Linked DNA regions of Cricetulus griseus. The protein of the gene in region 1 interacts with the protein of each later gene in a pairwise test. Links are inferred from orthologs where the notes say so. Each region holds a gene or a part of one and is shown in the gene's direction. Other genes may lie near its edges.

Evidence for each region. The genes of interacting proteins can lie anywhere in the genome.
Region 2: the proteins of Sumo1 (region 1) and Setx interact in a two-hybrid assay, tested with the Homo sapiens proteins (2 studies listed by BioGRID and IntAct). The link is inferred for Cricetulus griseus from reciprocal best matches to the Homo sapiens genes SUMO1 and SETX.
Region 3: the proteins of Sumo1 (region 1) and Atf2 interact in binary tests that used the Homo sapiens proteins (3 or more experiments, as listed by UniProt). The two-hybrid records come from large-scale screens. The link is inferred for Cricetulus griseus from reciprocal best matches to the Homo sapiens genes SUMO1 and ATF2.

The regions. Positions count from the first base shown.
Region 1 is NC_048595.1:413,930,929-413,934,682, reverse strand, and holds the start of Sumo1 (small ubiquitin-related modifier 1), read left to right. Parts: upstream 1-988; 5' UTR 989-1,133; coding exon 1,134-1,145; intron 1,146-3,754. UniProt on the Homo sapiens protein: Ubiquitin-like protein that can be covalently attached to proteins as a monomer or a lysine-linked polymer.
Region 2 is NC_048599.1:140,816,504-140,820,157, forward strand, and holds part of Setx (probable helicase senataxin), read left to right. Parts: coding exon 1-82; intron 83-1,353; coding exon 1,354-1,453; intron 1,454-3,654. UniProt on the Homo sapiens protein: Probable RNA/DNA helicase involved in diverse aspects of RNA metabolism and genomic integrity.
Region 3 is NC_048599.1:101,315,409-101,318,817, forward strand, and holds part of Atf2 (cyclic AMP-dependent transcription factor ATF-2), read left to right. Parts: intron 1-1,263; coding exon 1,264-1,470; intron 1,471-3,409. UniProt on the Homo sapiens protein: Transcriptional activator which regulates the transcription of various genes, including those involved in anti-apoptosis, cell growth, and DNA damage response.

The DNA.
Region 1 (3,754 bases):
GGAATTGAACTCAGGACTTCTGGAAGAGCAGTCAGTGCTCTTAACCTCTGAGCCATCTCTCCAGTCCGAAAAGATTCTTTTACTAACGTCTTATACTGTGAAAGGTTATTGATTTATTTAGAATTTTCATTTTTGCCGGGGGTTGGGGGGCGTGGTGGCACATGCCTCTAACGCAGCAGAGTCTAGAATAGTCTACAGAGTTCCAGGACAGGCTCCAAAGCTACACAGAGAAACTCTGTATCGGAAAAACACACACAACAATTATTTTTTCAATTTTACTCTTTTTACTTATATATCCGTAATCCACACTTAATGCCTGTGCAAGAAGGTCGTGGTAGTCAAAGAATTTTAGGTCTTTCTGTGACGAAAGGCAAATAGTTAATAGGTTGGAGGTAGCTCCTTCTGCCTATAACTTCAAACTTAAAAACTTTCAACATTTTAGTCATCTACAGCTCTTAAAACTGTCCTAGAGCTGGGGGCAGAGGTAGGAGACTCTATGTGAGTTCGAGGCCAGGCTGATCTACATAGTTCTAGAGCGGCCAGGGTTGCTCAAAAAACAAAAATAAAAACAAAAAATATGTGTTCTAAGGGGTCGTCTTTTCGTTGTGGTCCTAAATCAAGGTCATGAGTGTGCTGGCAGCAAACAAGAGAAGGTAATAAAAATATTATACCGGCGATTCCCTATATTTAGGGACGGTTAGTAAGGTTGGGAGCAGACAAAAGAACTTGGTTTAGCTCGGAGAAGCGCGCAAGGTGTCCGAGAGGGAGGAGTCTAGGATGTCGGTTTGACCCCAAACATTCAGCCTGGTGGCGATGCCCTGGTCTCCCTAGGGGGCTGAGGCAGCCGGCCGGGTCTCCCAGCGGCAGAACACACAGTCGTTCTCTTGCTCCGGGCAAGCAATTTTACAGGTCAGACGCCCCAAGGCCTTTCCCCAAGGCGTTTTCCCGCCTCCTTTTCCCGTCTTCCCAAAGTCTCCTTTGCGCGCAGCGGAAGTGACGCAATACGTAGCGGAAGTCCCTGCAGCCGCGGTGTTGTGCTGTGGGGAAGAGACAGATTTGTAAACCTCAGAGTGAGGTTCTGCCTGCCGGAGGCCGCTGTGGTGCGGAGACCCCCGGGCGAAGCCACCATCACCATGTCTGACCAGGTACTGGGCCAGGGCATCGGGGCTCAGAGCTGTCGGCCGCTGGCTGGGCCCGGGGACCGCGGCGCGGGGGAGGGGACGCAGCTGGGGGAGGGGGCTGCTGCTGGGGAGGGGGCCGCGAGGGACGCGGAGCGCCCGGCCGAGTCGGGCCCAGCCGCCCGGGACCGCGGGGCTCCGGGGAACACCCGCCCTCCGCCGCCTTCCCCGCGCCCCCCTCCCGCTGCCCCGCGCCGCGGCTCTCTCGACGGCTCCCAGGTTTCTCGCGGGTCCGCCGGGGGCCCAGGCCCGCTCCTCTGTCCCCGAGAGCAACCTAAGAGAAATCGACCGTTTCCCTTCAGAGGACCGATGGCAGAAACAGGGCCCCAGGCCTAGTTATGTAACGGGAGGGAATCCCTGACTGGGAGGGTAGGTAGCCCCGAAAAGCTGCTCCACTCCACTTTGGGTTCTTGGTCTCGGAGTGGGGGGCGGAGAGGAAGCCTGGCCTGAGGTTCCTGGGACCCAGAAGACGCTGCTTTCCGTTGTGTTTGCCGGGAGGGCCTGTCCGCCTCTGCTCCCTTCTGCGTCTTTTTTTTTTTTTTTTTTTTCCATCTGGGGGGTGCGGATCGGTCGGCTCTTTTTCTGTACTTTCCATTTCTTACTCGGGATTGGTCCATCAACTCTCTAGTTGTAGGAGAGTTCAGAATAACCGAGAAACAAACGAAACTAGGTTAGAGTACCACCACCAACAAGCCATTTATTTCATCTGGGCATTAGCCTGCTTATGATTGTTACATTTTCAAAAATGGCACTTTTTTTTAACATAGTCAATTTTATACACGTAAACGACGTATCTTGGTTATATGCACCTCCATATCACCCTCTTCCAGGTGATATTTTTGAGGAAAATAGAAAAACTGAATATTTACAGCTGCAGAATGTTTACAGAAAGCTGCCAATTAATAGTAAAATGCTGTGTCTCCGTATTAATGTTAAGAATTTGCATGGTATTGGCATTCAAATTAGGAATACTGCCACCTTAATTTCCTTCATCCCATTTTTGTTTACCACGTTTGTGGCTAGTTTTAATACATAGGATTTTTATCTGTTTTTCCTTTTGTTTGCTTAGAGGACTGAATTTTCAAATTTTTTTTGACGTTTGTCTATAATGATAATTATTCAGTAAACTTTTCATTCAGCACCACAGTGTAGTTGAACTGTTTTCTTTTAATTTAATCTTATTTATTTATTTATTTATTTATTTAATTGTTTTTCGATACAGGATTCTCTGTGTAGCCTTGGCTAACCTGGAACTGCTCTGTAGACCAGGCTGGCCTCAAACTCAGAGATTCCCAGCCTTTGCTTCCTGAGTGCTGGGATCAAAGGCATGCTTCCCCACCACCTGGATAATATGGTTCTATTTTTGTAGCCTATCCATAATGTAGATTAATTGTGGGGTAGATTTGTTTATAAATAATCTGGATTAATTCTGTTTAATCTGGATAGAAATTCGTTTATGAATATCTCTCCAGATAGTTCCGAGTAAGGGAGGAAAGATGAGCTGTAAATGCTTAGTTTCATCAGTCTTTTATTTTAGAAGGAACTAGAAGGCATGTCAGCCTGATGAAGGGCAACATACAGTTAGAAATTTTAAAATTATTTTTGCTCTAGTTTGAACTCACATCATTTAAGAATATGGAGAAAGGCTCTAAAGCTACACAGAGAAACCCTGTCTTGAAAAACTATTAAAAAAAAAAAAAGATTATGGAGAAAGGAAAAGAGAACCTAGGACACAGGCTGTTTTCAGGGGATCTGTGAAGCCACACTAGGGTGTAGTACTTGTTACTGGGCACTGAACTTAGGGCTCACATGTGTACATGCCAGACAAGCACTATACCACTGAGCTAGATCCGAATCTCTTATACTTAGTCTCACTATGTTGCCTAGGTTGTTCTTGAACTTCATTCTGTAGCACAAGGTGTCTTTGAACTCGGAATAAATACTCCTCCCTCACTTATCGTTGCAGAGTAGGGAGGATTAGAGTTATGCCATACCTGGCTAGTCCATGTGTGATTTGTTTATTTTTTTTTTTGTCCCGTGTTGTTCCCCCCCCCCCCCCCCAGGGTTTCTCTGTATTGCTTTGGAGGTTGTTCTGGAACTCTGCTCTGTAGACCAGGCTGGCCTCTGCCTCCCAAGTGCTGGGATTTTCTTTTGTTTTTGAGATAGGGTCTTACTATGTAACCTTGGCTGCCCTGGAACTCATTCTGTAGTTCAGGCTGGCCTGGAACTCACAGAGGTCTGCTTGCTTCTGTCCTCTGAGTGCTGGAGTGAAAGATGTGCATCACAATACCTGACAAACTTTTGTTTTGTTTTGTTTTGTTTTCAAGACAAGATTTCTTTGTAGCTTTGGAGCCTGTCCTGGAATTCACTTTGCCTGCTTCTGCCTCCCAAGTGCCACCACCACCTGGCCCAAAACAAGTCTTTTTAATTGAGCTACACAGTAAAGCAATATGCAAGAGTGTGAAATAGTGCTACTTTTAGAAATTTTGACTTGAAGAAAAAGTATGCTAACATTTTAGGGGTTATTTATTTTGTTTTCTAAGACAGAGTTTCTATGTGTAGCCCTGATTGTCCTG
Region 2 (3,654 bases), on another chromosome or scaffold:
ACCCGTGCCCGTCAGATTTCAAGATTGTGCAGAGTATTTTAATGTTTTTCTCCCTTTGATTATATTGAATGCTTTTGAAACAGTAAGTATGCTTTATTTCTTTGCCTCTTTTGTAGATAAAGATTAGAGAAATGCTCATGAGCACATAGTCCCGTAAACTTCTGTTTGAATTTGTACTTATTTCTGTGAGAAGGTATTGGAGGGCTTTGTGTTGGTCAGTATTTAGACCAGGGAGTAAGGATACGCACTAGTTTATTCCTTACACAGCATCCTTGGTTGTTGAGTAGAGAACAAATGGTAGGAAGGCTTACAGATCCAGTAGACCAGTTACAGGTTGGTTCCAGCAACTTGGGGAGAGAATGATGTTGGCTTTGTTTGGATAGTAGTTATGGAGATGGAAAGACTATAGATAAATTTTAGAATATATGACTTACTAGTGGAAATTGAAAGGATGACTGATTTGAGCCTTAACCTGGTTAGGTTGTAATGTTTACTCTCCAGGAGTGGGGAAGAGCCTCTTGAGTTTGCCTCTTTCCTCATTTCTGGGCTGGAGCAGCACATGGCAGGAAAGGCCCTGCTACATGTTTCTAGCCAAAAGTGATAGATAGTGTGAGGGTGGGGCTGTCACACTAACCTTGTGCAGAAGCAGTTTGGCACCAGGAGTCATTGATGAATAATTATATTTGAGGAATTGAAGACCAGTTGCAAATTTAGCTACTTGAATAAAAATTTTACTATAAAATAAGACTGTTAGGTCCCGAAGGTGATTCTGTTTTTTTTTTTTTTTTTTTTAAGTGTAAAATAGCCTTTTATACTAGCAGTTTCTTTCGTAAATTTGGGCTTAGGATTGCCAAAGATCTCATACACTTCTGAGTTTGACTTGAGGCTTTGGCAGACAGGTATGTGTGGCATATAGATACTGACAGGAAGAATGCTTGTGCAAATTCCCAGAGATTGAGAAAAATGTAGGACAAATAGTCTCATTGTGGAGTAGGTGCTACCAGCAAGATCTAGCAGCAGCTGATACTTGTACAGTGAAAATTATCAGGGCTGCAGGTGACTGCTGAACATGAAAAGCTATTTCACCCAAGGAATAGTATTTTTAGTCTTTAGAAGTTCAGTTAACAAGTACAACCAAATGTGGCTAATGACTGAATTGAACAGGTCAGTTTTAAACAATTTAATTAAACCACACAAACTGATTTTTAGTCTTTCATTTGGGATTCTGTTCTACTTCCCCTGTAGCTCAGTTTGCTGTGTGTAGTAGCTTTCAACATGTTCTTTATTTCTTAGGTGTTTTTTTTTTGTTTGTTTTTTTTGTTTTTTGTTTTTTTTTTTTTTTGCTTTGTGTAGGTGGCACAGGAATGGTTCAACTCTCCAAATAAAGAGAATTTCTATCATTTGCATTTACGAAAATTTCCAGCGGACTACAAAAAATACTGGGAGTTTATGAGTAAGTTCATATGCAACTTGGAATATATGATATGATCATTGGAAATTTCTACTTATGAAGAGGTAGATGCCAGGGACTGGTAAGGTAACCAAGTGGACAAGCACTTAATGGCCCCCAGCAGTACTACAGACAGGTTAGCAGCAGCTATTGGTCAGATGAAGATAGCCACGCAAATTCATCTCATTTAGCTTTGTTATGATGAGACATTAAGACAGAAAACATCATTTTAGATAAAAAATGCTCAGAAGTTCAGTTTAACAAGCTCTATAATTTTAGTGCATATATACATGATACAGAGAAATAGGAACATGATACAGAGAAAAAAAGTGAACATTGCATATACACATGACTTTTGTTTTTGTTTCTTGAGAACAAGGTCTTGCTATATCACCCTGACTAGCCTGGAACTCGGTAGTCAACCAGGCTGGCCTGAGATTCACAAAGATCTGCTTGCCTCTGCCTCCTGAGTGCTGAGATTTAAGGTACGTGCTACTGCATGCAGCACACTTGACTTTTGTACCATTAAGTCAGCAAAGAGGAACAATAAAAGTAAAATAATAAAGTAAAATATAGTAGAAATAAGTGGCCTTCTTTTGCACCAAATATAGAATATAATTCACTGAGATCCTAGTACATTTATGGTAGAACTGACTTAGTAGTTCTTGAACTCTTGTGTATTGTGAGTAGAGCAAACATAGGAGTCTATTGATATTGTTAGAAAATGGCTCTCATGGGAGGAGGGTTAATAGAGTGTCATAAGGTGATATTTGAGTTGGAAGAACTAACTTATTTTCATATAACTATAGAATTTAAAGGGAGGGATATAAAACTTAGAGTAGTGTCCACATACAATTTTCAGAAACCTTACATGATAACATCTTGCATACATGGTAAGTGATGAAACCAGGGATTAGTATTGCTATAATACTGAGTATGAGACTCAGTTATATCAAAGTGGTTGTCCCACTAATGTCTGTTTTCTGTTCTGGGATCCAGAGTCCAAACAGCAGTAGTTAACGCTATTTTCTGAGCCTCCAGTATTCTAGAATAGTTAGTTCCTTAGCCTGTCTTCACTGTGTGTCTTTGATGCCTAAAGAATATTGCCCTATTAGTTTGTAGAACACCTTCTTTGTTTTTCTCAGATGTTACCTTAGACTTGAGGTTTTGTGCTTTTAGTAAAAATAGAGCAGAAGGATGGCTTTTTTTGTTGATCATTGATTCTGATCCCTTGGTTGATTGATATCTCCTGTGAAGTCACTGTTTTCCACTAATCCACAATCTGGCTAGTGACTCTTTCTTCCCTGATTTTTTGTTTGTTTGTTTGTTTGTTTTGTGGTTCTGGGATTAGAACCCAGGGCCTTTGCTTTCTACCACTAAGCTATACTTCTGACATGTATTTGAAGAAATTTCTGGTTCATGATAGTTTTCACAACCCCAAATATTTCAGTGTTTTGTGTGTGTGTGTGTGTGTGTGTGTATGTATGTATGTATGTATGTATGTATGTATGTATGTGTGTGTGTGTGTGTTGAAACTTGGTCTTCCCATGTAAGCCCTGGCTGGCCTGGGACTAATTATATAGACTAAGTTGGTTTTAAACTCACAGAGATTCACCTAACTCTTCATTCATTTACAAATATCTTTTTTCCCTTGTTTGAAATGCCATCAATGGCTTTTAAGGTCTTCTGTCTTGGCCACATGTAGTAGCACACACCTCTAATTCCTGCACTTAGGAGGCAGAGGCAGGCAGATCTCTGTTTGAGGACAGCCTGGTCTACAAAGCAAGTTCCAGGTCTACAAAGCTAGGGCTACACACAGAAATCCTGTGTGTGTGGGGGGAGGGGGTTCTTCTGTCTTTAAATTAGCTCTGTCTCTGAAGTGTCTGAAAGCAAATGTTTGCAGTGGAACATTTGTGAGTATGCTGTAACTTTTTTTTGACAGTTTCTGATGTTTTCTATTCACTTTTGAGATAATGAGGGTTTTCTTTTATATATAAATTTTTATTTAAATTAGAAACAATTTTATTTTACATATCAATCCCAGTTCCCTCTCCCTCCCATCCTCGCATCGAATCCCCCCATTCCACATCCATTCCTCAGGGAGGGTGAGGCTTTCCATGGGGGAATCATCAAAGTCTGTCCTGTGTATCTACGTTGGGAGAGTATCCGTGAGGTTTTTTTTTTTTTTTTTCAATATATGTAAA
Region 3 (3,409 bases), on another chromosome or scaffold:
CCTATGGACTTCTCCTTACCTGTAAAATAAGTATTATTATTAAAATAACTATTTATTTTAGTACAACTGGCATATTTAATAAATTTTATTTTAAAATAGAGTTGAAAAATGTTTGTAAACTTATAGTGAGTAGTTTTCAAAGGGTTTAATGGATATAAAATCAGTTTAAAAGTTTATCAGTGCATTTTTTCTTTATTGAAAATAGATTTTTTATATATCTAATATATTGATTATGTTTTCCCCTCCACCTATTACTCCTCCCAATTCCTCACTACCTCCTCTTACATTTGTATGCATACCCTTTCTTTCACTAGAAAACAAACACAGTTTTGAGTCCAGCCTGGTCTACAGACCAAGTTCCAGGACTACACAGAGAAACCCTGTCTTAAGAAAAACAACCAAAAAAAAAAAGGAAGAAAGATAGAAGAAAAAAATGGAAGGAAGAAAACAGGCATCTAAGGAATAATAATAAGATAAATCAAAAACCAACAAATCAGAGTAGGACCGAGAAACACGTGTAGACACAGATACACATTCACATACGCAGGAATCCCATAAAATCCCAAAGCTAGAAGCCATAATATACACAAAGGACTATAATGTAAAAATAAAATGGGATTCCCTGACTTGACATTTGAGACAAAGATCCTCCAAAGATGCCATTGAGTTTGTTTTGTGTTGGCCATCTACTCTGGGCATGCAGTGTACCCCTGGGAGTACTTTGTTTCTCCAGTGAGACTCCATTGAAGAAAACTAATTTTTCATTTGCAAGTGGCTAGCAATTAAGGATAGCTTCTGGGTTAGGGATAGGGGTGTATGTCTACTTCTCTCATCTCTAAGACTCCATCTGGTGCAGACCTGGCAAACCTTGTGCATGCCTGTTGTCTGGCTGTGGGTCTCTATATTTGTGCCCATCTGCTGCAGGAGGAAGCATCTCTGATGATGGCTGAACAAGGCATGGATCTATGAGTATAACAGAATGTTGTCAGTCATTTTTATTGCTATATCCCTTTAGCAAGACAGTAAAAAATACACATACTTTAAGACATTCAGTGTATATTGCATTGAACATTTTGCTATCACATAGTTTAATTATTTAAAAGGAATTCATCCACCGGATGATTTCCATGTTGTTCCAGAGTACTGATGTCATCAAGTCTTACAACATGAAGTTAGCAGCACTCTCCCTTTTATACTGTGTCTTGCCTGTGTTAATTTACTCACTACACAATAATGTCACAAGCTTCTCTTCATGTTTTACAGGCTTCTCCGGCTCATACAACTCCACAGACCCAAAATACAAGTGGCCGTCGAAGGAGAGCAGCTAATGAAGATCCTGATGAGAAAAGGAGAAAGTTTCTAGAACGAAACAGAGCAGCAGCTTCAAGATGCCGACAAAAAAGGAAAGTCTGGGTTCAGTCGTTAGAGAAGAAAGCAGAAGACTTGAGTTCACTAAATGGCCAGCTCCAGGTATGACGCATAAATGCACACTTAATTTGTGCTTATTAGTTAGGAGCATAGTTTCCATCCTTCAGACATTTTAGAACATGATGTATACTGCATGTATGTGGACTCTGTAGTAAACCATGGTCTCCTAAACCTTTGTGAATGATGACATGAAGAAATACCACGCTTTCAGTGCTGGCACAGTGAAGAAATTTTATGTCTGTTTATTTGTATGGTACACAAATACCCTATTTACCTTGCTTGAAGTTTAGTTCTCAAAAACTTCAAAAATATCACTGGTTTTTTTGTTGTTGATGTTGTTTTATTTTGGTTTTTGTTTGTTTTGTTTTTGGTTTGTTAACCATAAGTTGTTTCAGTGGCAGTTTTTACATTCTTTCTTTGAATTACAATTTTATTTTGTTTCTTCTTCTTCTTCTTCTTCTTCTTCTTCTTCTTCTTCTTCTTCTTCTTCTTCTTCTTCTTCTTTGTTTTTTTTTTTTTTTTTTTTTTTTTTTTTTTTTTTTTTTTAAGTGAATATAGTGATCATGAAAGGTGCCAGATTGACAGCTTTGGAAACTGAAGGATTCTAATTATCCACAGAACAGGTACAATTTGGCCAGTGGCAGAACATATGATTTCATACTGCACTGCCGATGTGCCTCAGATACATTTCTTAGGACCTCATGTGGTATAAAGATTTTAAGGCTTCTTCCCCATTCAAGTCTTTGGTAAGATTTCCAATAAAAGTATCAGGTAGCACCAAATGTGATTATTTCCATCATTTCTCCTTCCTTTCTTTCCTGTTTTTATTATTTTGCTTTTGATGTTGTGAATATTCTCCAGTAGTCTCTTTTGAACTACCAATTAACTGGAAATTAATGTTAATAAATTTGTAGTTTATTAATACTGGTCAACAGTACTAGAAATTGAAGTCAGGGCCTCAGCACTCTGCCACTAGTTGGTTCCTTCTTTATTATTTAGAAATTTTAGCTTAAGAGAGCTAAATTGCCCAAGCTTGCTTCAAATTGAAGACCTTCCTGCCTCAGCTTTCCAAGTAGCTAGTGTTGTGAGCATGTGATTTAGATCAATCATTTGAATTATCCATTCCCAGTTTTAAGTGAATCTTCCTATATAAACACAACTAATAGTAAGAGAGACGCTTGCTTGTTTCTTAAACCTATCTGCAAAGTGCCACAAATGTAATTATTTAAGTGTTTAGGAAACTGTTTTTACTATCCTGTACAGCATTTACCCAAACTAAGTTTTCTAACAAATTTTCTTATGTGAGACAGACATCCTTAAAAGCCTTCACTGCATTTTGCATATTGATATGGTTATTTTAGAACAAATAGATTGTTATTTACAAAACTTATTTTTAACCATCTAATTTTAATAACTTGAAAAACAGATTAATAGTGACTTACTAAACAACATAAACTCCAAATATATACTAGGATTTAGTATATATTATTGTCATCATGGCAAATGAATTTTACTCAAAAACTTCCACACTTTTTTAGAATAAAATTAATTTTGTTTTAAATAGTATGAAACAGGTTATACATACTTATTTATACATAGATCAAACTTGTTAGAATATTAATTACTGTTATATTTTTAGATACTCATGTTAACTAAGTGATTTAAATTATCTTTTTGTTCCTAATAAAAACATTTTTTTTTTACTTTTCTCTCTCCCCTTTCCTCCCTCTAAAGCCATAATATACCCCTCACTTTCATTCAAATTCATGGCCTCTTTTTTTTCAACTAATTGTTATTGCATATATGTATGTTTCTAAATATAACCTGTTGAGTCTATGTAATGCTACCTATATGTATGTTTTTAAGGGTGAGTCATTGATACTGGACAGACAACTGGTATGTTCTTTCCTTAGGAACACCATCTCTCCCATTCCCAGTTTTCTTTAGTTGCCGGTAGTTCTTTGTGTACAGTTAAGGGGAG